4 linked regions of the Rattus norvegicus genome follow. Each later gene encodes a partner of the first gene's protein in a complex. Links are inferred from orthologs where the notes say so. Each region holds a gene or a part of one and is shown in the gene's direction. Other genes may lie near its edges.

Region 1 (7,939 bases):
TGACATTTCCCTCCCCTTTTCCAGTGAAAATAACAAACTCTTACCCCACCCAGGGCCCTGTCCCTTTGCTTCCTTCTGGCTTGAGAGAAAGTGGGGTATTTAGCATCAACTCCTCCTCCTGTTCCTTTATCCTCCCTTCTCCCACACTTGGGAGAACAGAGCTGGTCCATGCACTGAGCATTGCACTTTGTTAGGTAGGGAGGCACGTTTGAGCCAGGAGACTAAGAAGCCTAGTCGAGCAGGTACAATTCCACCTCCCTTCCCAGCCCCAAAAGAGATGTCCAGACATTATGATTGATTATTATATTTTTTTTCAATGCCAGTGCTGCTCAGCCCTCAGCACAACTTCAGTTTTCATGAAATAAACAGTGACTATATAAAATTTCATTTTTCTGAAACTGAAATCTGAGATCAGGTCAAAGTCTCTTCTTTCCCATGGACTTGATTGAGCCTGTGTTCCATTAGGAGAGTTAAGTCCTGCAAGTGAAGGGAACCGTGCTTGGGTCCAGCCTACAAGTCACGGTAGCATCACCTCACAGTTGGCGTGTGTTTGTCTGTCTCAACCAACAGAAATTAAAAACATTAGGAGAGTGGCAGGAGACTGCCATAAAGGTCAGGTCTGCGATGCTGGAACACAGGCAAGTGTTGGCGCATCTGTTGCAGAAAGTGGAGATCAATTCGAGCAAGGCAAAGGCCTGGTCCCTCGGAACAGCTGGCCACCACTGTGCCCCAGGGGTCAACCACCATGCTGTGGCCGTAACTTGCTCTTGTCTCATGGTGGCGTCCACACTGTGCTGCTGCTATCACGTAGCACTGAGACTCAATGGCGCGGGCCCGCAGCAGCACCTGAGGATGAGACGTGCGTACTCAGGAACATACAGCATTTAATAGGCGAGTGACAAGAAGCGGACACTGTGGGCCCAATCTACTCATTGACTATTGATCAACTAGAATTAGTAACTAACTATAACATGACTCACACCTATCTAAGAAACGAATTTCCTCACCAGATCGGAAGGGAAGAAAATCCTTCAAGTAGAAGGGGAGGGGTGTGTTTGTGTTTTGTATTTTTTTATATAAGGTCTCCTTGTATAACCTTGGTTGGCCTGGACCCACAGAGATCTGCCGGCCTCTGCCTTACAGTGCGGAGATAAAAAGCACACACCACCATGCACCACTATTTTGGGTGGTGTGGGTTACTTTTGTTTTGTTTTGTTTTGTTTTGTTTTGAGACGGTTTCTCTGTGTAGCCCTGGCTGTCCTGGAACCTACTCTGTAGACCAGGCTGGTCTTGAACTCAGATCCACTTGCTTCTGCCTCCTGAGGGCTGGGATTAAAGGTGTGCACCCCCACTGCCCAGCTTCTATTTTGTTTTCTGTTTTACTCGAGGCATCACTATGCTGGCTTTGAACCTGTGGCTATCCCCTGAAGTGCTTAGAGTTTAGGTTTGTGCTACTCTGTCCCCACTACTAAAAATAAGATTAAAGGAGGCCTATATGTTATGAAGAGGCATTCTCCTACCTCCCAGTGGGCTGGGCCGGTAACAGATCCAAAGGCTGAAGGATAAGTAAGTATTTCTGCCCCAGCTTGAGCCAATTTCAGAGAAAGTTCAGGGAACCGCATGTCATAACAGATTGCTAGACCAACCTGAAACGAGAAACAACCCACTCATCTTCCCTGTCCTGGTCAACGTAACATTGAATACTACCTCCATCATCCTACACCAAAGGGAGATGTTACAACTTTTTCAACATATTCCTATTTTCTTTTCAAACTCCTACCTTGCCTGCTGGTGTCTTGACAGGTGGTTCAAGAGCGTATCCAGGCATGGTATAGTTGCTTTCTCTCATAGGCCCCTGACCTGGGATCTCTACATCACATAGATGTGTCTTCCTGTAACTGGCCACTACTGATCCTAAAGTAAGAGAAAATGCTCAGTACAGACACTGGAAGTCCAGCTTAGCTCTTCTCCCAAAGAGTAATTTTTAGGCTAAGAACAGAAGCATTCAAAACAAAACAAAAAAACCCCTAAAGCCAAGCAGTTGAGAAAAATGCTGAAGATCTGAGTTGGAAGAAGGTAGATGAGCCTAGGAAGAGGCAAGCTGAAGGACTGTGAAGTCTCACCCTTGCTGTTCAGAAGCACATGACAATTGTAGATTTTCTGAGTCTGCTCCCAGTCTTGGCCACGCTCGTGGAAACCACCCAAGGACAGCCAGATTCCACATTCCCTGAGGGGGAGGGACACTGACAACTCTACCCCCTCTATGTGGCAATCCAGGAACACTGCCCAACAGGGATTCTACCCCTCCCCACCCCCACCCTACCCTTGTACCTGGCAAGCTGGCTATATTGTCCCAAAAGGTCCCCATCCAGTGGTTCGGACAGGAGTAATGTCTCGGCAGGATTTCGTGCAATAAAGTCAAATGCCTCAGGCAGAAAGGCCAGGCAAGCGCCCAGTCTGGTAGCCTCTTGAACCAGCTCAGCACACGTTTTAAAGTTCTCTTGCTTGTTTGGTGTTGATGTTACCTGGCACACAGCCACCAGGGGCAGCTCCCAGGAAGTCGATGAGGACTCTGCCATGGCTCTGGGCCTGTGAATGACACAGGCAGTTTTCTCAGGATTTCTACCGCGTGCCGCGGAGAAACTTGGGAGGCTCAAGTGGGGGTGGAGCCGGAAACTTACTTTTTTTTTTTCTGATTTTACCTCCCCTTTGAGACCGGGTCTTTTTGTAGCCCAGGCAGACCTTTCTATGTAGCGGGGATGATCTTAAACTCCTAGTTGATCCTCCTGCCTGTTTCCCGAGTGCTGGGATTAGAGGTGTGTCCCACCAACCCTAGCGACTTGTTTTCATTCTTCCAGAGCATTAAATAACCCTAAGCTACTGGAGTACACGCATTAAATGTTTGGTGGATGGCAGGTCCACTATTCGGTTAATAAACATGGACTTAGCAACTACGTGCTAGACAAAGAACATAAAATATGTTACCTGGGCTGAGTACAAAGTACTGAGATTTGAGGTAATCGGTATCCGGTACACAGAAGGGACAGGAGTTGATGAGGAGGCCTGGTGATGAAGCCCAGCCTGAAGAAGGTGAAAAATCAGGACACCTAACCCTCCTTCAAGCTGTAAGTTTCTAGAATTCTCTGCCATTTCCAGACCTGGCCAGTAATCCCCTCCCCCAAGGCTTCGAAAACACTTTACTACTAGTAGTTATGAGATCATAAAATGGGAAAATGGAAGAGGACACTATGATCGGTGCCTTAATACCTCAACTTCCAGTGATCTCACATTAAAACTGAAGCCCTTTTCCTCTGCCAAACGTTTCCGCAGTTCAAGTCATCTCATGGAACCTTCCTCGTTTCCCCAATTCTCTCTTCTCGGCTGTGCCACCTGGACAGCTTTATAGACTCAACATGTATCTTTCCCCTTGTACCAGAATCTCAGAAGGAAAGTTCACCCTCCTTAGATCTCCACCATTCTCGTGGTGGGTAGGTAGATGGGTACAAGATCAGATCCCAACCCGAGCCCCCGCCCTCTGATTAGCGCGTCCTTCCCCGGCTCTCCCCGGGGCAAGAATCTCTGTTGCACAAGTTAAAGCATAGCAGGTGGAATTCACCGCAGCAGGCAGGGTTGGGGAGTAGGTCCTACATGAAGACACAGCCAAAACCATTCGCAGGGTCGGATCTGAAGAGCTGCCAGAAGCCAGAAGCGCAGGAGCAAGTGGGCGGTAACCACTAGAGCGGATGTGACGCAGTGGGAGTGCGCAGGCCGGAAAGCTTGCAGGTGGGGAAGATGGCGGACAGCAGCGGTCGTGTGGGCAAGAGCGGCGGGAGTGGCACGGGGAAGGGGGCGGTGTCGGCGGAACAGGTGAGGAACCGCGAGCGTAGAAGGCACCTGGGTCGGTGTCGAGTTCGTGCAAGGAAAAGGACTTGTGATTCAGAGGGGCCTTTAGTCCTTCCCACGTTCTCCGTGGTCACGCACAGGGGAGAGGGCGTTTTTGGGGGTGATCACAATCCTTTCTAGGGCGTGAGTAGGTGGGGTAGGTAGGTGAGAGGCACGCCCGGGGTGTGGGTGGGTAGTCGAGAGAGAAAGCTCTTAGATGCAGGATCTGGGAGGGTTGTCCAGGTCCCTAAGGACATGGATCGTCGTCTCCCCCTCTACGAGGTACCCTAAAGAGAATATGGTGTTTGAAGTGTCATCTAGTAACGAATCCCAGGCTGTTCTTAGTCAGTGAGTGGGTTATTTAGTCTTTGACTCCAAAACCGTGTTCACCATCACAAACACGCTGCAGAGCCACGTGACTCAGACTCTGACCAGTTTAGTGTTCAGTAACTATTTGGACTAAGGAGACTGTGGCTTAGTTATTTTCTTGTTTTGTTTTGTTTTTGTTTTGTCTTGGGGTGGGGATGAGGGTTGCTATAGGGTCGGGCTGGGTCGCTCTATGTAGCCTTGCTTTTCTGGAATTCACTATGTAGACCAAGCTGGCCTGGAACTCACAGAGATTCGCTTGTTTCTGCCTCCCAAATACTGGGATTATCTGGGACTACTATTCCTGGCTCGGGTTGTTTTCGTTTTTTGAGACATGGTCCAGCTCACTCTCTATGCTCCCTTCTGCAGAGACTTAAGTTTTCAGAAGAGGCTAGAAACCATTTTCTAATGCAGGTGTGATTCTGCTCTTCATAACATCGGGATACATCTGACGAATTAATCAGAAAGCCCTTTGTGGTATAGGGACCATGTTTTGTTAGTCTTGGGACTAGTGTTTAATTGATATTAGAAGAACACACAATTGGGGTTGGGGATTTAGTTTAGCTCAGTGGTAGAGCGCTTGCCTAGGAAGCGCAAGGCCCTGGGTTCGGTCCCCAGCTCCGAAAAAAAGAACCAAAAAAAAAAAAAAAAAAGAAGAAGAAGAACACACAATCGAAATGAAAATAGTTGAAGCTAGGGGTGTAGTTTGGTGGGTTAAATGGGAAAGCCTTGAGGTGTGGGGTCTGGGTGGGTGTCTGTTCTCACCTGGTATGGAGGTCCAGGGTTGGGATTGAAGAGCTATTTTAATCATATATTTGTCAGTTGCTTGTTGAGCAATCACTGCAGGTAAAAGTATCAGCATAGGGACTGGAGTGGTGGCTCAGCCGTTAAGAGCACTGACTGCTCTTCCATGGGTCCTGGGTTCAAATCCCAGAAACCACATGGTGACTCCCAACCATCTGTAATGAGATCTGATGCCTTCTGGTGTGTCTGAGGATAGCTACAGTGTACTTATATATAATAAATAAATACATCTTTAAAAAAAAGTATCAGCAGAAATAGTTTAAAACCCATACTGTTGGAGAGCATCGTCTGTTGAAGTGGGGTTTACAGTTCTACTATGAGTCGGAAAGTAAGTATTCAAAGAGAAGTGACATTCTGGGGATGGAAGAGGCACCTTGACAGTGGGAAAGAAAAAAAGTAAAGCTTTTGAGAGTCTGTCTTGTGTTATACTTTGCTTAACACAGAGAAACAGGTAAGTGAAATAGACTTTATCTTAAATTTGGACACAGCCAAGTGTGATGGCTCATACCCATAATCCCAATGGGTTACCCTCTCAGTTCCAGGCTAGCCTAGGTTACAGAGTGAAACACAATCTCAAAAACAAACAAGACAGACAGAATGGCAAATAAAAATGAAACAACGAGACTTCAAAAATATGTTATGTATATTTGCATGTCTGAGTGTGTGCATGTACCACACCTGTGCAGGAGCCATTGGAGGCCAGAAGAGGGGTCCAAGCCCCTGATAACTGCTTATTAGCTACCATGTGGGTCTTGAGAACCAAACCCAGGCCTTCTGCTATAGAAGTAACAGTTCTTCCACCGAGCCATTGCTCCAGTCCTTACACCAAAAACTTCTGCACATGATTTCTCTTCTTACTTTTTACCCTCCTCTATCTGTGAAAACATGTACTTCCCATTTCATAACTATTTAGTGTACTAGGCAAGAAAATTCATTCGACACCCTCCCCCCCCATCACCATGACTAAAAAACAGAGACTACAGAGTGTGTTGACTAAATGCTAGTTAGGGGTGGAGAGATGGCTTCTGCACTTGAGCACCTCATCTCACACAAACACATACATACATGCACATGATCTGAACAATCTTTCTAAATGCTAATTTGTTTTTATTTTCTAGAGGATTCTTCAGCTTAATTCTAAAGGCTGAGGAAAGTTAGTCAATGTGAGGATTTTTTTTTTTCGTTAGAAGAAATGTGTTCATAAGCCTTGAGCCATGAACTGCCCGGCCTTGGAAATGCTGGAAGATTTAAAAGAGCTGTATTGCAAGACTTGAAGAAGACACAGTCAGCCTTGTTGTTCTTTGACACAAGTTTTTTTCATGTGGCCTAGAACTCACCAGCCAGGCTAGGATGGCTGGCCAGAGAGTCCATTGACCCTCTCTTCCCCAGCACTTGGATAACAAGCCTCAGAATTTAAGTTCCCTAGCATTCCATTGCCAGGCAGTTCATGCCTCAATACCATACCTCCCCCACCCCCCAAGTTCTCAAACTCTGGTTCTTTGGTTCTTTACCTGTGGAACTTTTCTTCCCAATTTAAGTGTTTGTCACTGATACAAATTCAAGCCTGATGTGACTTTCACAAGGAAGATAGGAGCAGGTCATACTTTCTACTAGGCCCTTGTTTTATTTTCGGTTTATCCTATTTCTATTTATTGTTTATTGGTTTGCTGCTGTTTTATCTGAGAGAGGATCTCCCTCTGTAGCCCTGGCTAGCCTGGAACTTGCTATGTAGACCATGCTAGTCTAGGGCTTGTGGCATTCTTCCTGCTTTGATCTCCCAGGTGTACCACAGCACTTGGAGGAGTGAGTGCGCGCGCGTGTGCGCGTGCATGTGCGCGTGTGCGCGTGCATGTGTGCGTGTGCATGTGTGCGCATGTGCCAGCCAGCCACCCACATGCGTGCCTGGTGACCTTGGACTGTGGGGGTCAGAGCATTGGATCCTCTGGAGTTAGAGACAGTGATAGTTATGGGTTTCCATGTAGGTGCAGAGCCACAAGTGCTGCTGAGCCATCTCTTTAGCTCCCCCAAATCGAGACACATAAACATTATGTACACACATATAATAATGAACTAAACAACTGAAAAGCCCTGCTGCAAAGTAGATTGTGATGTACACGCCTGTAAGAGATCCCCTGTATTTGGGGGAGAGGTAGAGAGGCAGGATTAGGAGTTCAAGTTCGGGGTTGGGGATTTAGCTCAGTGGTAGAGCGCTTGCCTAGCAACCGCAAGGCCCTGGGTTCAGTCCCCAGCTCCGGGAAAAAAAAAAAAAAAAAAAAAAAAAAAGAAAAAAGGAGTTCAAGTTCATCCTCAACTAAATAGCATATTTGAGGCCAGTGTGAATCTCAAAAAGACAAGAAAATTCCTGTCACTTGTCAAAGTTCAACAGGTGTTTCGAAGAGGACAGAGCCTACTCAAACACTGCTTTATACCCCTTACCCTCCAAACTCATGACCTTATAATGTAAAATACAATCATTCTGTCCCAGTAGTCCCCAGAGTCTTACATTGTTCCAGTACTAACTCAAAATTCCAGGGTCAGTTGTGAGCCTGTGCAATGAGAGTAGCATATGCACGTTCATCATGTAATGCAGAGGCAGGCAGAGGGTAGACATTCCCGTTCTAAAGGAGAGAAGTAAAGCCAGGAGGAGGCTTTACTGTTAAAGCCTTAAGTCTGAATTCCGAGAGGGCAGGCATGGTCTTACCGTTCTATGATAAATTATCCCTATATATGGCATTTGGAAACTCTGGGGCAGGAATTGGGCCTCTAAAATACTAGACAGCTCCACAGGGCACAGTCCATGCTTCATGCACTTGGGCTGGGGGCATACCAGTGCCTGCAGCTTGCCCGGTTAGGCACTGTCCACTGACAGTTGCTGTACTATTAGAGA
Region 2 (7,777 bases), on another chromosome or scaffold:
CAAAGTTTGGATCAGTCCATCGATTTTTCAGAGTAGGTGTGACCTCTCTCTCTGGTAACTTCATTCACAAAATCCATTTCAAGAAGCTAATGCTCAGAAAGGGATGTTGAGAGAGCAGAGAGAGAGAGAGAGAGAGAGAGAGAGAGAGAGAGAGAGAGAGAGAGAGAGAGAGAGATACAGAGGTGGGGACACACAGCACAGAAGAGAGAGGACGTGACCTGACAGGTGGAGACACATCATGACTGCAGTAACAAAGGAACTGGGAGAAAATCAAACCAGGCTGAGGGCCACTGTGTGCAAATGTCCTGAGGATCCTCACCGCCCCTCGGTCCAGTGACCTTCTCTTATGTGGATGGATGCAGCAGCCCCACATGAGAAGCATCAATGTCGACCCCACAGAGAAGTAAAGATGTGGGCGATGAGTCACTCATTCCTCCCTCCTTTCTAGGGCTTCATTCCATTGCCAACCTTACCTGGTACTTGCTGCTGGCCTTGCCTCAGTGAGCAGAGACAAGTCACAGGTCTGGGCAGCAGGGACTGCAGTCTGCAGGCAATGGCCAAGGAGGGCCTTGTGGGTGAGGATATGGCACTGACACCTCCTTTTCCCCAGCTATTTATATCCAGTGGCTCCTTTGCCTCTCTGGCTTCATCTCCCACCTTTCTCCCTCGCCCATTCTATTACATGTGCATTAGCCTCACTGCTGCTCACCTCAGGGTCATTGTGCCTGCTGCGTCCTCTACCTACAGTGCTACCTCACCCCATCCAGGTACCCTCATGTCTCACCCCTTACCTCCTCCACAGTTTTGTTCCAATGCCACCTCTTCGGAGAAGCCTTCTCTAACCACCTATCCCAAATGGCTCCTGTATCTCTCCCTGTCCACCTTGCATTGCTGGGGACCTGGCAACACGCATCTACGTTTGATCCAGGATGCATTTGGTTATATCCCTGTCGATGGTCCACTCCCCTGCCTCCACAGCCTAAAGGCAGGTATCACACCGGCTTTGCTCACAGTAGACTCATGAATCTCTGAGCCTGGGAAATTGCTACATTTTCATGACACGAATAGTTAGGTAATGTCAGAGATGTCCCAGAGTCCACAATCTGCTCATTTTGACTCTTGGAGATGAGTATGACCTTCCCTGCAATATCCAGTGACCAGATGTGGCCCCCGAGGGCCAGTCAGAGCCAAGAAATTTAACATGGAACCTTCCTTAACTTCTCTCCATTCAGGCCCACCCAGCAGGGGTCAGGGGTGTCAGTTTTTCCAGCCATCTTTGGCCCCAAGGTGGAGAGAGGATACAGGACTAGGGTCCAGACCCCAGGGATTCCTGGAAGACTCATTTTTCCTTTGGCAAATACCCCCACTTCCTTCACAGGGCCTGTGCCTGCGTTTCTGAACCAGAAGGTGTTTACACAAAACATCCTGGGTTTGGCGACAAATTCACCCTCTATGAGGAATCCTTAATGACGCTTCCTCCATCCCCACACCAGGCAGCTGCAGAGAAAACTGTCTCAGTCTCTAGGAATTGAAGGAAGCCCAAAGCCAGACAAGACGGAGGTGTTTCTGGGCTTCGTGAGCCACAGTTTGTCAGTGTCCGTCAACAGTTGTGAGACAGAGACCAGCACCCTCCACCCTGGGGATCTGTGCCCTTGTCCCAGCCTCAGCCTGCAGCTGTATAACTAAACAGTCGTAATCCGGTCTCTACAAAAGTGGCCATGAAATTCAAGTGAGGCCAAGAATATGAATGGGCTAAGTTACCCAGAGTCAAAAAAGGAGACTAAAAAATGGATGTCAGAGTTGAGTCTTAGGGCTGGGGAGGTGGCTTAGTGAGTGAGGAGTGTTCACTTTACACTCAGAATGAGGATCTGAGTTTGAATCCCAAACACCTACAGAAAAATCCAGACATGGTTGTGTGGGCCTGTCACTTCAGCATTGGGGAGCAAACAGCCACAGGCAGATCCAGAGAGCCCCAAGTCTAGGCTGCCTAACCCAAAAGAGCTTCCGTTTCAACGAGAGGCTCTATTTCATGACAATAAGGTGGAGAATGTCAAAGGAAGACACCTGTCACCCTGCTCTGGCCTCTGCTTGTCTCTGCAGGGGCACAGAGTACCCTTATATGCATGCACCACACACATACACTCACACAAAAGAAAACAGATGAGATATAGCTCAGGTGTAGCGCTTGAGAGGCACTGGGGTAATTCCAGTTCCACACACGGAAAAACAAGAGGATGGGTGAGGTAGCCCGCCTCTAAGCCTCCAGCTTTGCAAATGTACAGTAAGAGATTGGGGGACCCCTCTGGTTCTGTCGGGCAGTCATCACCCTCCCACCCCCACCCCCCGGAAGTCCAGGATCCTAATTCACTCTTCAGATCTTACTGACACTTCATTGCTCACCCTGGACAGTTTCCAGCTCCTTCTGTGAATCTTGGCTTGCTACTGTGGACATTAGATTCAACAAACGCTGCAACCAGATGTAATTTAAAATGATTTCTGCTTCCTTTCTGTCTTCCGTGGTGGTGGGGGCGGGGGGGGGAGACAGGAAAGACAGAGACAGAGACAGAGAGACAGAGAGAGTCAGTGCGGGGAATTTCTATACCCATTATTTACAAACTGGAAGCTGAAAGTGTCGCGGGTTAAAATATGAGTCTCTTTGCCACACTCAGTTTCTTGGCGATGTTAAACTGGACTTTATGATCTCTGTGTCTCCAAAGCCATTATCGCTACCTCCCATAATGTGTAATTATTTTGCTGTCAGTGTTTGCTGTTTTCCAATGGAATGACGTTCCTAGAGCCGGGATGCTTCTTTTGCAGCCGCCTTCCCGACACCCAACCTGGTTTATGGTGGATGCCCAGGAACCCTTTGAAGGGAGGGGAAAGGGCAGTGCGTTGGGCTGCTCGATCAGAGCCTGCAGGGGGCGCATCTTCCCTGCTCCCAAAGCCTGACCCTCCCCTCTGGAGCCCAGCTGAGGCGCATGTTCTTTTCACTGCGCAGGCTTGCCGGAAGTCCCAGAACGGCGCGTGCGCGGAAGGAGCTGGGGTGAAGTAGTAGTGCGAGTGTCGGAAGAGGTCTGTGGCACCATGGTGTCCCCCGAGGCGGATCGAGTGCTGCGGTACCTGGTCGAAGTGGAGGAGCTGGCAGAGGCAGTGCTCTCAGACAAGCGGCAGGTGAGAGACGCGGCGGCCGCGAGCGCCCTACGCAAGTGCGCGGCGTCGCAGGGTGATCACCGGGCCTCCCGGCGTCACTGCTCCTAGCGGCCTGGTGCCTAGTGAGCGCCAGTCAGTTCTGTATTGGGCAGTTGCCTTCCTTTCACCCTGCCCCGTCATTGCTGGTCCCCCGGATCCCTGACACCACTTTCCAAACGCAGTCCCAGGCCCATCTTGAATCAGGTTGTTGAGACATGGGCAGGATGTGTCTGGGCAGTACACTGATGTGCGTGTGCGTGTGCGTGGGGGGCGGCGGCTTGGTTGAAGGCTTCGTAGACCCGAAAGGGGTGCTTGGCTCTGGTTCTGTGGTAAGTAGTCCCTAAAGGGAGTTCGTCCTGGGGATGTTATCATTGAATAGTGACTGATAGATTGATCGGTTGGTTTAGACTAAACTTTAGAGGATCTCATGTATCTCAGACTTCTCGAACTCACTGTGTCGCCTAAGACAGCCTTGAACAACCCGTGGTATGTCCTTGTCAGTGTCCTGAGTTCTGGGATTACAGGTGTGCATTTAGATTTTAAAAGTCTCTCTCTGGCTCCTTCCTAGAGTGCAGCGAGCCATTTAGCTGATCCAGATGATCTGGATTTAGACAAGATGGGAATGATGGGGTGAGACATATACTTGGTGGTCTTCAGAAGCTACCATAATGACCGTAATGACTCTTCGTGATCTATATTTGAAAAGGCTTGATGGTTCACTAGCTGCAGCCCCAGAAAGTCGCCTCTTGAGCAGTTAGTTGTCATAGTGGTACGGTGCAACAGCTGCTCCAGTCCAGTATGGTTGAATGTCTGGTGAGACTGTCAGAGTTACTTAACAAGAGCTTGTCAATAGTCACTGTCTAGAGGAGACACTCAACTAACTCCCTGGTGACCCCGGTATACTCTCAAGTTTGAGTGGATGATACAAAGTGGCTCAATCTGCAAACATTTTCCCACCACCTTCTGTGGAGGAGGAAAGCTCCATACAAACAGAGGAGCTGGAAACCAAGTGGGTAAAGAAGAACGTTCACACCTGAGTCGTCCATGTCAGGCAAGACATTGGAACTTCACCAGAAACGATACCTTGTTTCTTCAGATTGGGGCAGGAGGCAGCTGAGTTCCCATCTGCTCCTGTTTTCAGATTGTAGACCTGGACACCAAGAGGAATCAGAACCGAGAGGGCCTGAGGGCCCTACAGAAAGACCCGAGTGTCTCTGGTAAGTTGTGGCATCCTTACTGAAGCCCTGGAAGCTGGTTCAGGGACTTCATTATCCCTGGTAAAGACCAGCCAGGCAGGAGGCTGGGACTGTGTGACTCACCCTCATGGGGAACTAAGACAGCTTGTGGAGAAGAGCAAGCCAGTGTTGCAGGTCAGACATATGCTGTGACTCAGAATTTAGCTGCTCACTTCAGCGACAGGCCATTAGCTCATCACTCACTGACGGCAGATACAGAGAGTGCTCACGGCACATAAAAAGCAATAGTTCTGCCCTTATGTTCCACATGAGGAAAAGCAGCATAGACACATAACTGAAAATGGTGAGAGGCCATGGGTGGGTATTGAGGCCAGGTGGCTGTGGCTGGTGGTAGCAAGCAGAGGTCTGACATGAAGCAGTTCTGGAAAGGAGGGCAGCATCCAGGCCATAGTGAAGGCTGACATGTAGGGCTTCCACTGGCTTATCTCACCTGAGTGAAACCCAGAGCTGTCCTGCAGGACTCCCCATGACCCAGCCCCACACCCCTATTAGCCCTGACTCTCCTGCTCACTCACTGGTCCCTTGGTTGTTAGCCTGGCTCTGTTTTCCCACATGTCTGTAAGTGTAGTGTCCTCCCTTTCCTCAGTTCTGTGCCTGAATGTCACATCTACATAGAAGTCTCATACCAACTTTCAACACATCAGTCCTCTGACAATTCCCAGCTCTTTAAACAGCTTTTGTTGTTGTTGTTGGGTTTTTTGTCTGTCTGTTTAATTAACTGGTCCTTTTGCCACACTCTGGGCTCTTCCACCCTTCTCCCCCAACTTTTCCACCTTTTCAACCCCCAACACTAGATAAGAGAGAAAAAAGGATGAAGAAAAGAGATCCTTGAATAAAGTCAGGGGGGTTGGAAAGGGGGCACCTAGCGTTATTACACCCTCTCAAAAGCCCTCAGAATTCCAAACATCACACACTCGAAGAAACTATCTGCAGCTGGCAAAATCATGCCAGAGCATGAGGCAAACCACAGTCAGCTGCTGTGCTCAGTCTCTCTGAGCTCCCCATATCCCACACCTGGGATTATAAGGAAGACATAATTCTTACAGGATTTCTGTGTTTGTTTATTTGTTTGTTTTTAAAGAAACAAAAATGCCAAAACTGCCACTACAGGTTTCCATGCTAGTTCTTAAGCGGTGTGTGGAAAACAGCTTCGCTCACTCCCCATCTTTTGCTATGACGTGATTTCCACGAGAGCATGAACTGTCTTGTTCTGCTATGTTCTTAGCATCTGAACAGTGCCTGTCAGATGATAGGTGCTTCAAAAGGGAAAAACAAAACATGAAGAAATGTCTGTTTGCTGTTTCAGAAGACGTGATGGTTTGCTTTGGGAACATGTTCATCAAAATGCCTCACCTTAAGACGAAGGAAATGATCCAGAAAGGTAAGGTGTCCTGAAGAGGGGTCAAGGACATGGCTACCTTCCCCCCAGTCTGAATCATAATCCAGCACTGAGAACCAAAACTGTATTAGGCTGGGGAAAGGCAAAGGGCTTCTTCCATATGGGCCTTTGCTTTCTGTTTGAAAATAAGGCCACTCTCTGCCAGAATCTCATTGGTCAAGGCCATCCGTAGCTGTGAAGGGTCATGGATAAGTGAAGTTTTGCATGAGCCTGTGTGTCTGTGTGTTTGTGGCGTGTGTCTGCCTGTGTGTGTGTGTGTGTATTGCAATGAGTATGCAGAGGTCAGAATAGGGTGTCAGGTTCCCCCTTTAGCCCGTTCCACTTTACTTCCTCCCTCAAATTAAGTGAGGTCTCCCAACCTCTTTGGCTACCTTGGCTGGTCAGCAAGCTCTCTGCATCTGCCTGTCTCTGTCCCCTAGTGCAGGGATAATAGGTACACTGAGCATGTGTGACTTTTAACATCGGTACTGGAGATGCAGGCCTCACACTTGCAGAGCAAGCACTTACTGACTGAACCATCGCCCCAGTGCCCGAGTGAGCTTTTATTTTTCATGTCCCCTGCAGCTGAGACTGTGCTGAAAGTGAAGGTGTGACTGGGTACATAGCTAGAGGTAGAGCATTTTCCTAGCCTGTGTAAAGCCCTGGGTATAATTACTGCAAGAAAATGGAGTATAGAAAGAGCAAGATTGCCTCTATAGTCTGAGCAGCTTGTGTAAGCAAAGTACTGCTCAGGTCTCAAACCGTGAACAACTGGGATCTCCTCAGAGAAGCTCTGTAAAGAGAAGCCTGGGAAAAGACAGATACACTTGTTTCTCTTTTACATCCTCAAAAACACATGGATCAAAAGGACCAGTAAGGTTGCCTTTCCTGAAGACAGGATATGTTTATACTTTTGGGAACTGGAACAAACCTGCAGAAATTTCAGCTATTAAATTACGGTAGTGTGGCTAAAATGAAGGGTTGGGTTGGAAAGGTGGCTCATTGAGTACAGTGCTCTTCTGAGACCAGGGCTCAGTTCCAATCACCACATAGTAGGTCACAACTGGTGTGACTTCAATTCCAGGGGATCCAACACCTTTTTCTGACCTCTTGGCACCAGGCATGGCATAGTGCACAAACATATATGCAGGCAAAACACACAGACACATAATAATACATGTAAAGAATTATTTTAAAATTAAGGGTCAATGTGCTTGGGTAATGGGCAAAGACTGTACAGCTAAAAACTTAGGGGTCACTGCCTGAGTTCAGGATTCGGTGTTGTGTCCTGCTGACCCACAGATGTTGTCTAATCTCTTATCTATGAGGGTTCTAGTTTTCTCCCAAATCAATATAGACTGAACAAGTTCATAAACAGTTTCTTATTTATAATCAAGAAATCAATTACCAAAGCTGTGAGGCATGGCTAGTCAGGGCCTTTCTTCTTTAGGAAGTGGGAGCAGACAGGCAGCGGATAGCCAGTAGAATGTCCCTCATAGCATAGTTGGCTGATAAGCTTTGAAGGGTGCCTGTGTCTTTGTGCCAGCACTCCTCAGTGAAGTCTATGCTGATGCTAGGCTGGTCCTTGTATCCACCATGGCCGACTAGGTTATGCTGGAGCAGCAGGCTCTCCCATTGGCTACTTGGGCCACATTTTCACAGGTCCTTGATGGAACTTGGGTTTGTAAAGTTTCTCAGCCATCCAGCAGCCAGCCACCCAGCATTCTTTGAATAACTGAGTGGCAGGCCTTGTTCTGGGCCAGCTCAGGGACTTGGGCAGGTAGTGTCACTCCTAGAGTTTAGCCCTGCCTCTGCTGGTCTCTCAGGTCACCTTTTCCTTCCTGTGCGCTACAAGCCTTGGCTCTTAAGGGCATTAGGTGGAAACTTGGGTCCCTCTATGTAACAAAACTCTGTCCTGTCTGCCTGTCGAATTTTTTACAGATCAGGAGCACCT
Region 3 (7,176 bases), on another chromosome or scaffold:
GGAGTTAAGACCAGAAGAGAAATCTAAAAATAGCTCTAATTCATTTCTGCACTGATTTTCTCTCCTACTTTTTTCATGCTTCGGACTTTCTTTTTTTAATGTTTCTATTGATTCGGGCTTGCAGAATAGGGCTGTGTAATAAACTGCTTCTTGGAATCTCTTACTGGCCTGGAAGCAGCTTCCCTTTGTATGAAGAGCTAGAAGTCTGCCTGACAATTGGGATATATGTAAGAGACATAAGTTCTCATTTTGAGAATGGTATCTGTGGGGCAGCGGCGCATGGTTGAGGGGCTGCTTGCCGTGCAAGCATGAAGACTGAGTTTTAATCTGTGGCAGCCATATAAAAAGCCAGGCACTTCTGCTCACCTCTGACTCGTGCACTGTGGAAGACAGAGACACTGAGAAACCCTGTCTCAGAGGAATAGCGGAGAGAGTGATAGAGGATACCTGAAGTCCGCTTCTGACTTCTGCACGGATGTGCTTCCCCTCCCACCCACCCCCCACACACACATCTGGAAAATCCTGTGGAACGATGCTGCATGTTATCACGTGCTCAGTATATGTAAACAGTTTGCATAATCTTTTGCAAATGGCACCAAACACCATTGGAGGCACAGCAGGTAAAATCCAGGGGATGAAAAGGGCGGAGTGGGGAGAGTGCTGTGCTGCTGGCTTTGCTGTCTGTCCCAAGAACTGGTGCTGAAGGGCTAAGGGAGGCCTCCTTATGCCCTCAGTCAGAGAGCATTGACTGCCTACCTACCAGGTTCTATAGACAGGACTACGAGAGGCTCCTGGACATCTTTGTTCCTGTGCCTTCAGAAAACAATGTCTCCATTGTGATTGCATTTCTGCTGCGAGGTAGCACCTCTTTTACCTACACACCAGCAGAAATGCAAGCCCTTTCAGGATTATGAGAGGGAAGATTAAAAACCTCTTTGTAGCCTAGTGTGGCCTGAACTTCACCGTGTAGCCTTGCCTGACCTGGAACTCACAGCTGCCCTTCTGCTTCTGTACCTGAAGTGCTGGCTACAGGGGTGAGCCACCACACGGGGTTAAGGAGGCAGCATTTGGGTGCTTCAGAAGATGATTCTTTCTCTGTCTCTCTTCTTCCCTTTCCACCTTTCTCTCCTTCTGTCTCCCACTCCCGTAATCCTATGATCTCTGGGTTTTAGACCAGTTGGAATCATGTCTGATTTAGGCAACAAAATGAGAAACCTTGTCTCAGAAACTGGAGAGTGAGATCCGAGGTCCCTGACTGCTGTCCAGAAAGCCTGGGTTTGATTCCCAGCACACATGGCCACCACCAGTTCCAGGGGCTCCAATCCAATGCTCTCTTCTAGATTATGTGGGCACTGCATACACCTACATGACAGCAAAACACCCATACACATGAAGTAAAAATAAATAAACCCTACTTACACAGGGACCTAAGAGCTCAGAGTTTAAGGACAACCAAGGTTTTATGAAAGACCCTGTCTTGAAACAAAAACCTATCTTTTGACAATGATATGCTTTTTAAATTATACAAAATTAACTAAAGAAAGAGTATAATGTCTGTAGAAAACGTTTTATTGCTTTTATGTATAATGCGTTTATAACCCCCACAGCAAAGCTGTCAGTGTTGTGGTTATAAATAAGTGTTTACATAAGTAAAGTGTCCTCTCTCCTTTCTGTCCAGATTGAAAAGGCTAAGCCCATTAAATGTGGGACATTTGGGGCCGCATCTTTGCAGCAGAGATTCTTGGCTACTGGAGATTTTGATGGGAATCTTCATATCTGGTGAGATCGTTAAACAGTACTCCAGTGGGATAAGTACTCTGTTCGATAGGCTTTTAGTCTTCTGAAAGAGAGTTCTAACTTTAAAATACTTACTTCAGATATTTTAATTCCTTCCAAAACTGAAGCCATGAGGACTGCGTTATTCCTCTATGTCACATTCAATGTTTACCTAAAATCCTCACCTTCATATTACATTCAGGAATATGTATGTATAACGTTATATGTTTGTGTATGTATATGCATGTAATAGCAGTGAACAAACAGGCCCAATGTGGAAGAGAAAGGAGGGATCTGTGGGAGGGCTTGGTGGGGGGATGATATAATTATACTATGACCTCAAAAGGTAAAGGTCAGAGGTTTAGAAAGATGCCGAGCTCTTTGGTTTAGAACTTGAAACAGTGTTACCGGTTCTTACCTGCCCACAGGGTATTTGGGACTGGCAATTAATTAATGCCATTTTAGTAAGAGTTTTGACTTTTTAGAGCGATGCACTGATTTTAATTTTTTCCATGCAGAACTCCCAGTTAAAGTTTTGGTTAGTATTTAATACTTTATGATCTAGACACGACTTCTAGGAAAATGTCTATTGAACAACTCAGTAAAAGCCTGCTTTGAACAAAATCACAGAATTGTCCGTTGCCTTTATATAAATCTTACTTAGAATTGTTTCTTAATATTTAAAGTTAAATGAATTCAAATTTCTCTTTAATTACTTTGTGGAAAAATCTATTTTCTGCATTTAAAGTATACAGCAGCTCTCTTTCTTTGTTTCTTTCTTAGCTGCTCATTTCACCTATGAGCTGTTTGTTTTGGTGACAGGGTTCCCATGTACCACTGGCTGGACTGGGACGCACTGTGTATTACTATGTAGACCAGGCCAGCTTAGAACTCAGGATGAAACTGGAGGAGGGTGCCAGCCTAGGGCTTGTGGCAACCCGTTTTGGTTGTCATTTGTATTGTACTGCTTCATAGTTAAACCGTGTTCACATCTACCTGATTTTAGAAACGTAACATAAAAGTGAAGCTAGTGTAACTCCTTGCTCTAAAAGCTAGTGCAATTTTCCTTCTTCTGACTCCTGCTATTAAGTTCATATTTATTCATCATTTTACATACTTTGTCATAGAGCTTCAGAAAAATGGAAGGAGAGGCCAGTGTCTTACTTTCTGTATTTTATTTATTTTTCATTGTTTTGGGGGCTTATCATACAGACTAGTAGATGTTCATTATTTTAACTGTATATGTATATATGCATATGTATGTATCGATATGCTTTGGTCATACTCGTTTCCCTCTACTTCTGCTTGTACTTGTGTGCCTGCTGCCTGATTGCGGTTCTCTTCCTGCCGGATAGAGCCACGTTTGTCTGTCTGTCTGTCTGTCTGTCTGTTTTGAGACAGGGTCTCTCTACATGGCCCTGGCCGCCCTGGAGCTCACAGTGTAGATCAGGCTGTCCTGTAACTCACGGAGATCTGTCTGTCTCGCCCTCCTGAGTGCTAAGGTTAAAGGTATCCCCACACTCAGACTAAATACATCCTTACTGTGTTTGTTCCATTGCCCACTCCCTCTGACCCTATTTAAGTTTTGTTTTGTTGTTTTTGTTGTTTAAATTATTTTCACATTTTATTTAGTGTGTGTGTGTGTGTGTGTGTGTCCTTCTGTGTGTCTGTATCTGTGTCTGTGTGTGTTCATGTACATGCCCTAGTGGAGAACAAATGTCCTTCTGTCTGAGTGTCAGTGTCTCTCTGTAAATGCACATGCACTAGTAGAGAGCAAATGTCCTTCTGTCTGTGTGTCTGTATCTGTGTCTCTGTGTGTGCATGTGTGGAAGATGACTTATGGGACTGTTTTCACTTCACACCTTGTATGATCTGGAAGTCAGTGCAGGTCGTCAGGCTTGACCTATATACACACATATATATACACATGTGTATGTGTGTACAGTTTTAAATTTATTTTCTATGCATAAGAGGAAACATGGCATTTGTTTTCCCAATTCTGGCTTATTTGCTTAACATAACAACTGGCCCCCTTCTTACAAATATCCTTGTTCCATTTTTCTTCATGGCTGGATAACCTCTCATTGTGTTAACCTTAACCACTCATGCCTTGATGGGCCCATTTCCGGTGCTGTTGAGTCTGTTTCCGAGACTCCTCACTGAGCTCCTATCACCAAGTGTTTTACTTGTGTTCTCCTCAAGCTTTTTCAGAGCCTCTCTCTTACGTTAAAGTCTTCCTCCAGCTTGAATTGTCTGGGGTTTTTTTATTTATTTTACTTTGAATTGGTTTTTAGGGCATGTGATAAGTAGTTGTGTTTTTTTGCTTAGGAATTTGGAAGCTCCAGAGATTCCGGTGTATTCTGTAAAGGGGCACAAAGAAATCATAAATACCATAGATGGTATAGGTGGACTTGGAATTGGGGAAGGAGCCCCGGAAATCGTGACGGGCAGCCGAGATGGTGAGTCAGCTTAAGTACTGAACAAAGGTGTAGTGGGCGGGCACCTTTGTGCATTGCCATACGCTCTGCCGTGGAATCGTCTTGTTGGTCTGACTGTGTAGCTGCCGTTTGTGCATCTGCATTTTAAGGGACAGGTTTCACTGTGCGTCCCCAGTTCCTTGCAGGCTTCTGTGTATTTTCAGATGGAAACCCAGCGCTGAATAGGTTAGTGTGGACTTAGTTCAACACCTAGGCATGAGCTGATTTGAATGGCTTACAATGTCTTCACAGGTTTCTGAAGCAGCCAGTGATGTGATGTGTGTGGCGGCTTCTCATACTCTTTCTAAAAAGCAGAGTTAGTCCTTAGCACGATGTCAGGTTGACAGGTACCTGAAGACGTATTCTGGGATGTGTCTGAGTTCCCAGCACTGGCCTTAGGGACCAACAGACCAGGTCTGGATGACTACATGGACCTGGGCTTTGTTGTCTCACATGGAGATATATTAGTTGCTTTTAAAAGGTTACCGTAAAAGAAAAACAAAATATAATCTTCTAGTAGTTTCTGGAGAGCAGAGGTGTGTTAGAATTACCATTTCACAGGAGCCATGTGAAACACAAGGGAAGATGGCAGGCAGTCCATCATGCCGCCACAGCGCTGTGCTTCTCCATCGTACCTTACAGTTCGCAGATGCAGACGCTTCTGCTTCCATAACTCTTACTTTAATGGCTGTAACATGCCATCGTGTGGCTATAACAGCATGCTAAACTATGCTTCTGTAATACCCAATCAGTGTGCTCCATGTTTTCTGGGTAGTCTTAGGACAGTGGCTTGAAGCTTTGAAGAAGTGGTTGTAGTTGAATATGTAAGTCCTTGGGGATATTTTATGACTTATAAAATGTATTTCTTTTTTTTTTTTTTTTTTGGTTCTTTTTTTTTCGGAGCTGGGGACCGAACCCAGGGCCTTGCGCTTCCTAGGCAAGCGCTCTACCACTGAGCTAAATCCCCAACCCCATAAAATGTATTTCTAAATAAACCATAGTACCCATTTCCCTGGCCAGCTGTAGTGGACAAGAGACTACGAGTGGCTAACATTGCTCTTTCCTCCTGTAAGGTCGTAGATTAGAAACTGTCCTCCGTTTCCATGTACGCTAGTGTCAGTGCCTGAGCGTTGATTAATTCTGCGTTTTGAATTGTCTTTACGTTCTTTGCTATGTCAAGTGTGGGAAACTTACTAAGATCTTAGTGACTTGTATAACCCCACAGCTGAGATGGTAATCGCTGTCAGATTTGTGGGAGTCCCTCCACAGAGATTGCAGCCTTTCTGATGACCAGCTCTATCCCTGGTCTCTTTTGGGGATATTTTTTCCCTTCCCTACTCTTGCTCAGATGTAGGCCTTTTAGCCACCTCATTACATGCAATCATGTTGACTGTAGGCTGTGACACTAGTAATCTAGTTAGTAATCCTATAGTATGAATTGATTTAAGTTAATTTTATTGATAGTTTCCTCCTCGTTAACTTATGCAGGAAAGTTGAGCTCGATCACATCTGAAAGAGGTGCGATTGATTGTTTCTTCTTCTGGGTCAACAAGTGAAACTGGACCTCGTGCATGCTGGTCACTCTGCCATGAGCTGCCTCCCTACAATGGAATGGCATTTTAAAACCCCATACAAAAGTGTGTTGACAGCGCTTATTCTTCTGTATAAGAAAAGAACCAATGGTTCTATGTGTAGTAAGAAAAGTAAAGTTAAAATGATACTCTCACTATTCTAAATGTGTTTGTATGTATTTGGTGCTAACCCAGACAATAAGGCATGTTTTGAATTGTGCACTTATATTTGATGTGCCTATCATCACTTACAGATAACCTAGGAATACTTTTTGGGTTTTCTCTGTATAGCTATTAGTTTAGGAATCAATTCTAATACTAACATGGGGTTATGTCTGGTATCAAGGACAACTTAACCACTCTGAACAGTTTTCAGATGTTGTAACAATTATTGTCACGTGTACAGATAACTGTAGAAAGAGAACATAAACAGGAAATATGATCGATCAGTCACCATTGAATTTTGCCCACTCCCTTTTATCCATGACAGGAACTGTAAAGGTGTGGGACCCGAGGCAAAAAGAGGATCCTGTCGCTAACATGGAACCCGCACAAGGAGAAAACAAGAGAGACTGCTGGACTGTGGCATTTGGTAAGTTGTCAACAAGAAACCTCGTTTCAGGTTCATCGTGGCTCAGGAAATGACAGGCAGTCTCCGGTAGCCGCTCTGTAGACTCCTGAGGTTTGTCTAGGCCGGCATCATGGTCTTAGGCAATCTCAGGCCAGGGTTTGCGTCTTCACCGTGCTAGTTACTGTGTGGCCGGGGGAAGTTACTGTACGTACAGCATGGCTATGTACAGCATGGCTAATAGCGTTGAAAAGCCAATGAAGTAAGTCACTAAAGCTCCTAGAGTGGGCATGGATTACGGAGTGTTGAAAGTATTTACTATTATTATAATATTTTTCTGTTTAATTGGTAATATTGGCCTAGTTTAGTACCAAATTCCATTAATAGAGCTAAGCCTCAAAGTGATAACCTAAAAAAAAAAAAACCCCTCACACTGCATTTTGCAGTGTTTCTTTTCTAGAAAATAGTTGTGCCATTGCACGATTATTTCATATAAGTCTGATAACTGTGACCTGTGTTAATATACTCATAGTGCATTCTGACCTTGTCAGTGTTGCTGCTTGTCTTTGATTGTAAACGCTGCAGGCCGGAGCCCAGGCTAGCCGCCTTCCCAAGCATGTACTGCTGCGTGCTGCTCCGTATTTAGATTTAAACCTGTGTTTGCTTTTTGATAAGGCTGGCTCCAAACTGTCAGAGATCTTCCTGCCTCTGCCTTTCAAGGGCTGGGATATGGCATGTGCCACCACGACCTGGCTTTTGTGATTGTTTTGTTGTTTTGAGACAA
Region 4 (7,915 bases), on another chromosome or scaffold:
TCTGGCTAAGGAGATCACTATGAAATCTATCCAGATTCACTTCTTATAGAAAAGATTTAGTCTCCATGGAAAAATGAGCCAAAACCGACATCTGCAAACACTGGATAGATTTTACTACAAGTAGATAAAAGGAAGAATGGGCAGTATCAAGCTTTACCTTTTATCCTCAACACTGATACACAGCGCCTGTCAAAGACAGAGCTTAATCAGAATACCAAAGATGACCCTCACTACAAACACGACCACTTCACTACCAATCAAAAGAAACTGAAATATGGTGGGAGAAGAAGAGAAATTGTGTCTGTAAATAGGAACAAAGGGAGAGTCCAAAGCCAAGTAGAAAGATAAAAACTATATACCACCAGGAAAATCTAAAACTAAGGTTGCCTATAGCAAAAAAAAAAAATACCAAACCCAGATCAATTCCTGACTAGATAAAAATCTCCACACAAAAGACCCAGGAAGACGAACCATCTATCATCTATGCCTAAAAGATAATTTGCCTCATTATCTATAAGCAGAAAGACCTAGAGACTCCACTAAATGACTATTAGAACTGACAAAAATTTCACCAAAGTAGCAGAAAAGTAAAATCAATATTCAAAAATTAGTGGATTGTTTTCTATATACCAATAATGAATTTGCTGAAATAGAAATCATGAAATCAACCCCATTCACACTAGCTAGAGAGAGAGAGAGAGAGAGAGAGAGAGAGAGAGAGAGAGAGAGAGACGAGAGTATCTCATATCAGTTTCTTCCAGGAAATAACATTTTACTCCAGATGAGAGGGTACCAATAGGCCAACAGGATCCTGTCTGAGTGCAGTTTGGTGAATAAAAATTAATTTATTGTGATTATTTGTTGGCGCATGGGTGACACAAAGTGTTACACAACTGAGAAATCCAGAGCAACTCATAGGCAGCTATCCCGCTGACTAATCCCACCTGCAGCATGGACAACTCACAAAAAGCTGGAGCACTGGAGAGTCTCATTTATAGCATGGCTGACTCAGATGAAGCTATGCCACCTCAGTTGCCAAAAAAAAAAAAAAATACGTAGGGGAAGCTATACTACCAAAAATTTCCACCCCAGTCCACTTCTTTCCCTTGAGGAAAGGAAGGTCTTTGACCCTATGACCTCACAAACCTCTCTACTCTCTTAACAAAGAATATATTAATAGGCTGGATCCTGAGTCTCATGAGGGTTTCATGTGGATTTTGAAAGCACGAGCCACATAAGCCTCCCTTCTACTTCCATGAGGAACTGTTAATAGGCCTGATCTCATAAAGTGATCACATCTGCTCTTATTCAAAACAGCAATGGTTATGCCCAACACAGTGTAAGAAGTGAGACAACGCTCCCTTTCTGCAGCTTTCACATTCTTTCCATCCCATCTTCTACAGTGTTCTCCAAGACTTAGAATAATATAAGTGATTATTCTTTTCTACCACCTTGAGCAGCTATACCACAGCAACAGAAACATTCCTTGCAGTTCGACAAGTTATGAATGTTCTATAGTAACTACCTCCCATTGTAAGAAAGAAGTGTGCTTTCTCTATGTCAGGGAACAGCAGTAATCTACAAGCCACCCCACAGATTGAACTCAGGCTGTCAAGACTTGCTAGCCTGAACCTTTTAACCAGTAAGTCATTTTGATAACCTAAAAGAATCTTTTAAGTAAAAAAAAAATACACGAAATACAAGTTAATAGACTTAACACAGACTCAACGCTAGTCCATCCAAACTGTTCTCCTTAATAAAGATTAACTAATATTTTATAGCTCCCTAATACCTGTTTTAAGCACACCAAATTGAATTTTAAATATATGTAGCACGAAATTTTGGTTTTGGTTTTGGTTTGGGGGACAAGGTATCAAGCAGAAATTCATTTAAGATGATTTTCTTAAAATTTGTCTCTGTTTAAACATTTTTATGTGCCCTTTGGAGGGTGAAAACCAAACTATGTGTGTAATACACACACACACACACACAGAGAGAGAGAGAGAGAGAGAGAGAGAGAGAGAGAGAGAGAGAGAGAGAGAGAGCGCGAGCCACAAGATATCCTGCCTTCCTTATAGATTAGTACCATAATACTTGCTGGTCTATAGGCACTCTTGTGCTTTTTAAATTATTAAATGCTTAAGTGGTCTCAGTGAGGTTTTTGTTTGTTTGGTTTTGATTTGGTCTTTTGTTTTAAAGAGAATATGAAATTGGAAGGGGAATGTGGTAGGAAGGGTCTAGGACGAGTTGGAGGGAATAGGGAGTGGAGATAATGAAAATATATTGCATACATCTATGAAATTCTCAAAGACTAGAAATGTTTCTAAAAGAAAAAAGTAGGGACTATATGGATACCTCAGTAGTTAAGAGCATTGGCCATTCGATCCCAGCATCCACATGGTGCACACAAACTGCCAGTAGTTCCAATTCCAGGGAATCCCACAACTTCTTCTACCCTTTGTGGGCACTGCACACATGTGGTGCATAAACATGCAAACAAAACACATAAAATAGGAAGGAATTTAAGAGTGGGGAGGGAGGAATACAGAAATGGTTCATCAGTTAAGAACACACAACTCTTGCAGAGAATGTGAACTCCATTATCAGCACCCACATCACGGTAGCTCACAACTGCTCTCACACACACTTCAAAGAAATTATAAACACTTAACTCCCTCTCCCTACCTTCCTGTAAGTCCACCTTTCCTCAGAACCCGCCAAAACTCATTAAACGTCACCCAAACCAGTCTCCCGCCAGCTCGCGACTATTTATTTGCCTGCAGGCCAACAGCGTGACCCTGCTACCTCCAGGGACTCATTCAGGCCCCGCCTGCAGCTCTTCCCTTAAATGCGTCTTCTCGCACGAAGGGCAGCCCCGCCCCATCGATTATGGTTGGCTCTGGTGCTGGAAATGCGTCATCCATCCGCGCCAGCCGGAAGCCGCGGTTCGTTATAACAGTTATTGCTGGTGGCCCCTAGGTGAACGTCGCGGTTGCGTATCGGTGAGTGAACTAGTCCTAAAGTAGGGTTGGGCAGAAGGAACTCCATAGCACGAGTCGAAAGAAGTCGTGCACAATATGAGAACTTTGTGAAGTTAAACTGGAGCGCTCAACGTGGGTCCTCCCCCTTCAATCCCCAGGAGCACATAATGGCGACGCCCCCGAAACGGCGGGCCTTGGATACGGTGGGGGAGAAAGTGCTGCGGTATGAGGCCTTTATCAGTGACGTACTGCAGCGAGACTTGCAGTGAGTGGCAACGCGGGAGGCGTGACGTTTGAGAAATTCGACGTGGTGGGTGGGATTGAATGCGGCCAAACTTTCGGGTTGGCCAACCAGATTTCTGGGAAGAAGGTTGACTTCTGGGCTGAGATTTGGTTGGAACTTATCCCTTTAGCAGAGCTCCGACCATGTTTGTTGGTTTAAAATAGTCATTCCGAACCTAATGTGTTTCTAACTAAGCCATTTAATTAATATTTATGAACAAGTTGTACCTTACTTTGCCTCTCTAGGCTTTATGAACTTCGTTCATCTGTGAAATGGAAAAGTTTATTAGGCCTTTTTAACGTGGTGTTTGAGTTTTAAATGTGTCAACTCCAACACATTCTGCCACAGGAGGGAGAAGCAAGAGGATCTTTGTAAGCTGGAGACCAAACTGGGCTACAGACTGTCTCAAAGGGGGAAAAGTAGAATAAAGCCAGGCTCAGGCTCCATGGTGTGTGCCATCTCTAGTGGAGAGATGGGGAAATTCACGTTTTTAGCCAGGATTACAAGCCAGCCTTGAAATATATAACAATATTTTATTTAAAAAAAAAAAACTAGTGTGGTGACAGAGGCCTGCAATCCCTGTACTTGGGATGGTATCAGAAGCAGGATAATCCAGAGTTCAGGGTAACCTTCACTTACATTTCGAGGTTGTGTATGGCCTGGGCTCTGATATTATGTCTCAAAACAAGCAAATTAGGGCCAGCAAGATGGCTTGCCTCCAACACCATGCCCTAACGTAGATCTCTAGGAGCCACATGATGGAAGGAAAAAGATTCCCAAAAAGCTTCCAGGTGTATCATGGCACCTATACATGCACACAAAATAAACACATGTTTAATGCAGATAAACCCAACTACTATTATATTGAGGCTGAGAGGAGAGGATTGTTTGGTGTGATTACAAATTCAATACCAGCGTGAGAAACTCAGATATTGTCTCTGGAAATAACCTGGATAACTTTTATGAAAAAGGAATTTGCCTCCAGTGCCTGAAATACACTAAAAGCTCAACAACTAGATGATTACTATTGCTGTCATTACTAATCTGAATAAAAAGTTAGGTATTGAGAACTAGGGCTGTGTAATCATGCTAAAAGAAACGGGGAGGTATATTTAGGGTGAAGATGGGACATTTTAATTGGCATAAGTCACTGAGTAAAATGCAATATTTATCATTGTAATAGGTTCTAAGTATATAATGCTTACCATTTGGCTAGCATTTAAAACACTTTGTAGTAGACACTTGATTCTAATGACTCCTATATGCTAATACTACCATCTCTATTTTCTATGTGGGGAAACTTAATCCCAAACAGGTTTCCTACTTTCCATAGTCACATTACTAGCAAGAGGTAGAGGTCAGGATGAAGTACAGTCTCACCTATATTTATTGAAATGCCGGCTGTGTCCTTATCTATGCCCCATCATGAGTGTTTGGGGGAGCAGGCACAGGGTCTCACTATGTTACACAAGCTGGTCTTGAGCTCATAATCCTCCTGCCTCAGCCCATGGATTGCATCCATGAACAACCCCATCTGGCTTAAAATGCCTAGTAGGGCATGATGTGCTGCATCTCAAAAGGAGTAAGACTGCCTAATATTCACTGTTGTATTTCTACGTATCAGAAAGGTACTGGACCATCGAGACAAGGTATATGAGCAGCTGTCTGTATACCTTCAACTAAGAAATGTCATTGAGCGACTCCAGGTAAAGGCTTTTAAATTGGGTGCCACTTTGTGTATATGTACAAAGAAGGGAGGCGGGAAGAGAACCCCCAGAACAAAACCTTTATCTGCCTTAAAAGTTGGCCACTGACACCTACCTCTTTTCTCCTGGCCCTATAGGAAACTAATCACTCGGAGTTATATATGCAGGTGGATTTGGGCTGTAACTTCTTCGTTGACACAATGGTGTGAGTGTATTCTCTCCCCTCTAAATTTCTCCCTTTTTTCATGGAACAAGTATTTCTTAGTATTTTCTGTATACCAGGCTTTAGTAGCTTTTATATTACATTAAGATATAAGCAACATGTTGTGGTCGTGGGAGAAATGAACACAAAATATCTGCCCTTACAGAGCCTTCACTTGGGGAATAGGAAGGAATAGGAAACACCTTAAACTATATACAGTATGCTAAATGGTAATAAAGACTTCTTCCACTTCCTCCGACCTCTTTCCTCAGCCCAGATACTTCACGCATCTATGTGGCCCTGGGATACGGTTTTTTCCTGGAACTGACACTGGCCGAAGCTCTCAAGTTCATTGACCGAAAGAGTTCCCTCCTCACAGAGTGAGTTCATTCCAGGAGGATAGTATCTAAAGGCTAAGGGTGCAGGGAAGTGGTAAGAACATTTGCTTAGCATGTGTGAAGCCCTAGGTTCTATCCGTATCACACACCACACAAACACATACACAAAATATATAAAAGTCAGATACGGCAGTAGTTCATACCTGTAATCCTACGACTCTAGAAGATCAAGCAGGAGGATCCTGATTTTGAAGCCACTCTGGGTGATAAAACAAATCCCTCTATATAAAACAACAGAAAAAAATAATAAATAGACATCATAAATTTCAATACTCTACCCTTTTCCCCGTAGCTACCTGGGATGGTACTTTAAAAAAAAAAAACATACTACCTTCCTCTTCAGGGCTAGAGCTAAAAAAAATGAGGATGCAAAGTTCAGCCACGGAGTCATACTAAACACTTAATAAGTAGTTTTTGTACTATTCCTTCACACATTTATTGAGCATCTTGTGTATGCCAGGTTGTGTTGTTAGTATTGGGAATACAGCAGTAAACAAAACAGAAGATTCTTAGAGGCTTACATTCTAGAACTATGTTGTTATATGTACATATATCTAGGTCCACATCCATGAGATTTTAATCTAAGAATCAGTACCAGTCAAAGAAGCTGCTTCTCACTTAACTATCTGTTAATTTTTCGGCTCATTTGCCCTCTGAACTTAATATGCATGTACCCACACATGCAGAGATAATGCCTTCCTCTATTGCTGTCTGCCTTATTTATTTATTATTTATTTCTTTTGAAACAGGGTCTCCACCAAACCTAAAGTTTGCCATTTTTTGACTTCAACCCCAAACCTAGAGTTTACAATTTTCTGGCTTCAGCAAGCACCAGTGCTGGGGTCAGAGGTGTGTGAGTTTTTACATAGGTACTAGGAATCCAACTCCAGTTCTTATGCTTGAGCAGCAAATGTTCTTGTCCACTGAGCCATCTCCCCAGCCCTAACACATGCTTTAAGTATTTCCCACCTTTAAGAGCATTCAGTAGCTACTGTGTAGTTTCTTTTTTCGACACTTAGTTGTCTTGCATAAATAACAAGCTCCCTAACAAGTTCTTCTGTGACCTAACTTCAAAATTGCAACTCCTAGTGTTCTTAAATTGCCCCTCTTCTACTTTAAAAAAATTACCATTAGTGTGTATATTGCATGACTGTGGGCATTGTGTTGTAGCATGCATGTGTAGATTACAGCACAGTTTTGCGAGTTGATGTTCTCCTTCCAGGGATTCCATGAATAGAACTCAGATCCCCAGGCTTATATGACAAGCACCCTTACCCACTGAGCCATTGCACCAGCCATATCCTAGTTTTTCTCTCTTTCTATAATCTTATTACCTCTTAAAATTTACTGTGAAATTTCTTTCTCATGCTCATTGTCTTTTACAATTAGATAATAAGTATTACATTTCTTTACAGGGTTGAGACTTGTAGCCAAGGTCTCCGGTCTAGTAAGCAAGAGTTCTATTACTGAACTGTGTGTCCCTAGCCCAGGTTATAGGCATTTAAAGGAAAAAGTTTATACTATAGATAACTAAAATAATGTAAAGCACAGTTTCTGTTGAGTGAATTATGCTAGAAGCAAATTGAAAGGATGATCAAACTTATCTATGTGGGTAATGGTGAGGAGAAAAAGTGTGGGCTCCAGGTTACTTTTGGTTTTATATAGGGAAGAACTGGTTTGGATGAGAAGCTTGAAATATAGATAGTGCTATAACTAAAGAGATGGCTCAGCAGTGAAGAACATTTATTACTCATTACAGGAGACCCAGGTTCTATTTCCAGAGCCTGCATAGCAGTTCTCAACCTTGTGTAATTCCAGTGCCAGGAGAGCTGACTCCCTCTCCTGGCCTCTGAGCACCAAACACAAGTGCTATACAAACATACATGCAGGCAAAAAATCCATACGCATAAAATAAGTAGGTAGTGAAGGCCACATAGAAGACCTCAACTCCCACTCTCAGATGAGTGACATTTGAGTCAGTTTATTGGGTGAACAAGCCATGGGCTAACTGGGGAAGAATGTTCTTGACAAAAGGGACAATGTATCTGGCATGCTTGAAAATTGTCACGTGGCATAGCTTAGAAAAAATGAGTATGAGAGAGCAGGGAACAGTATACTTAGATAAATAACCACTTCTGAGCATGAACACCTGCAATGTAAAATTTCTCCTTAGCCGCGATTTTCCTGGATTCATTTTGTCTAGAGTTATCTCCTGTATGGTTCCAGTAGTTATTCTCTTAAGCTTTCCAGAGATTTTAGTGTTAGTAGACCTGAAACCTGCTATGATTTCTAAATTTTGTTAAACTAGTTAGCATATAATTTGATCAAGGTTATTGTAATTCTGA

What was found.
Region 2: Pfdn2 (region 1) and Pdrg1 share a complex: the UniProt entries of both Homo sapiens proteins name them as parts of the PAQosome complex. The link is inferred for Rattus norvegicus from reciprocal best matches to the Homo sapiens genes PFDN2 and PDRG1.
Region 3: Pfdn2 (region 1) and Dnaaf10 share a complex: the UniProt entries of both Homo sapiens proteins name them as parts of the PAQosome complex. The link is inferred for Rattus norvegicus from reciprocal best matches to the Homo sapiens genes PFDN2 and DNAAF10.
Region 4: Pfdn2 (region 1) and Uxt share a complex: the UniProt entries of both Homo sapiens proteins name them as parts of the PAQosome complex. The link is inferred for Rattus norvegicus from reciprocal best matches to the Homo sapiens genes PFDN2 and UXT.

Annotation. Positions count from the first base shown.
Region 1 is NC_086031.1:86,302,046-86,309,984, forward strand, and holds the start of Pfdn2 (prefoldin subunit 2), read left to right. Parts: upstream 1-3,782; 5' UTR 3,783-3,792; coding exon 3,793-3,867; intron 3,868-7,939. Other genes in the region: Nit1 (deaminated glutathione amidase), read right to left, coding at 583-846, 1,521-1,646, 1,781-1,914, 2,124-2,227, 2,332-2,589, 2,986-3,081, 3,649-3,650. UniProt on the Homo sapiens protein: Binds specifically to cytosolic chaperonin (c-CPN) and transfers target proteins to it. Binds to nascent polypeptide chain and promotes folding in an environment in which there are many competing pathways for nonnative proteins.
Region 2 is NC_086021.1:161,939,256-161,947,032, reverse strand, and holds the start of Pdrg1 (p53 and DNA damage-regulated protein 1), read left to right. Parts: upstream 1-3,051; 5' UTR 3,052-3,084; coding exon 3,085-3,171; intron 3,172-4,330; coding exon 4,331-4,406; intron 4,407-5,751; coding exon 5,752-5,826; intron 5,827-7,764; coding exon 7,765-7,777. UniProt on the Homo sapiens protein: May play a role in chaperone-mediated protein folding.
Region 3 is NC_086032.1:95,824,530-95,831,705, forward strand, and holds part of Dnaaf10 (dynein axonemal assembly factor 10), read left to right. Parts: intron 1-1,678; coding exon 1,679-1,779; intron 1,780-4,104; coding exon 4,105-4,235; intron 4,236-5,741; coding exon of another isoform or gene 5,742-5,771; intron 5,772-6,314; coding exon 6,315-6,416; intron 6,417-7,176. UniProt on the Homo sapiens protein: Key assembly factor specifically required for the stability of axonemal dynein heavy chains in cytoplasm.
Region 4 is NC_086039.1:3,676,762-3,684,676, forward strand, and holds the start of Uxt (protein UXT), read left to right. Parts: upstream 1-3,142; 5' UTR 3,143-3,148; coding exon 3,149-3,246; exon of another isoform or gene 3,247-3,291; intron 3,292-4,888; coding exon 4,889-4,970; intron 4,971-5,107; coding exon 5,108-5,175; intron 5,176-5,444; coding exon 5,445-5,552; intron 5,553-7,915. UniProt on the Homo sapiens protein: Involved in gene transcription regulation. Acts in concert with the corepressor URI1 to regulate androgen receptor AR-mediated transcription. Together with URI1, associates with chromatin to the NKX3-1 promoter region.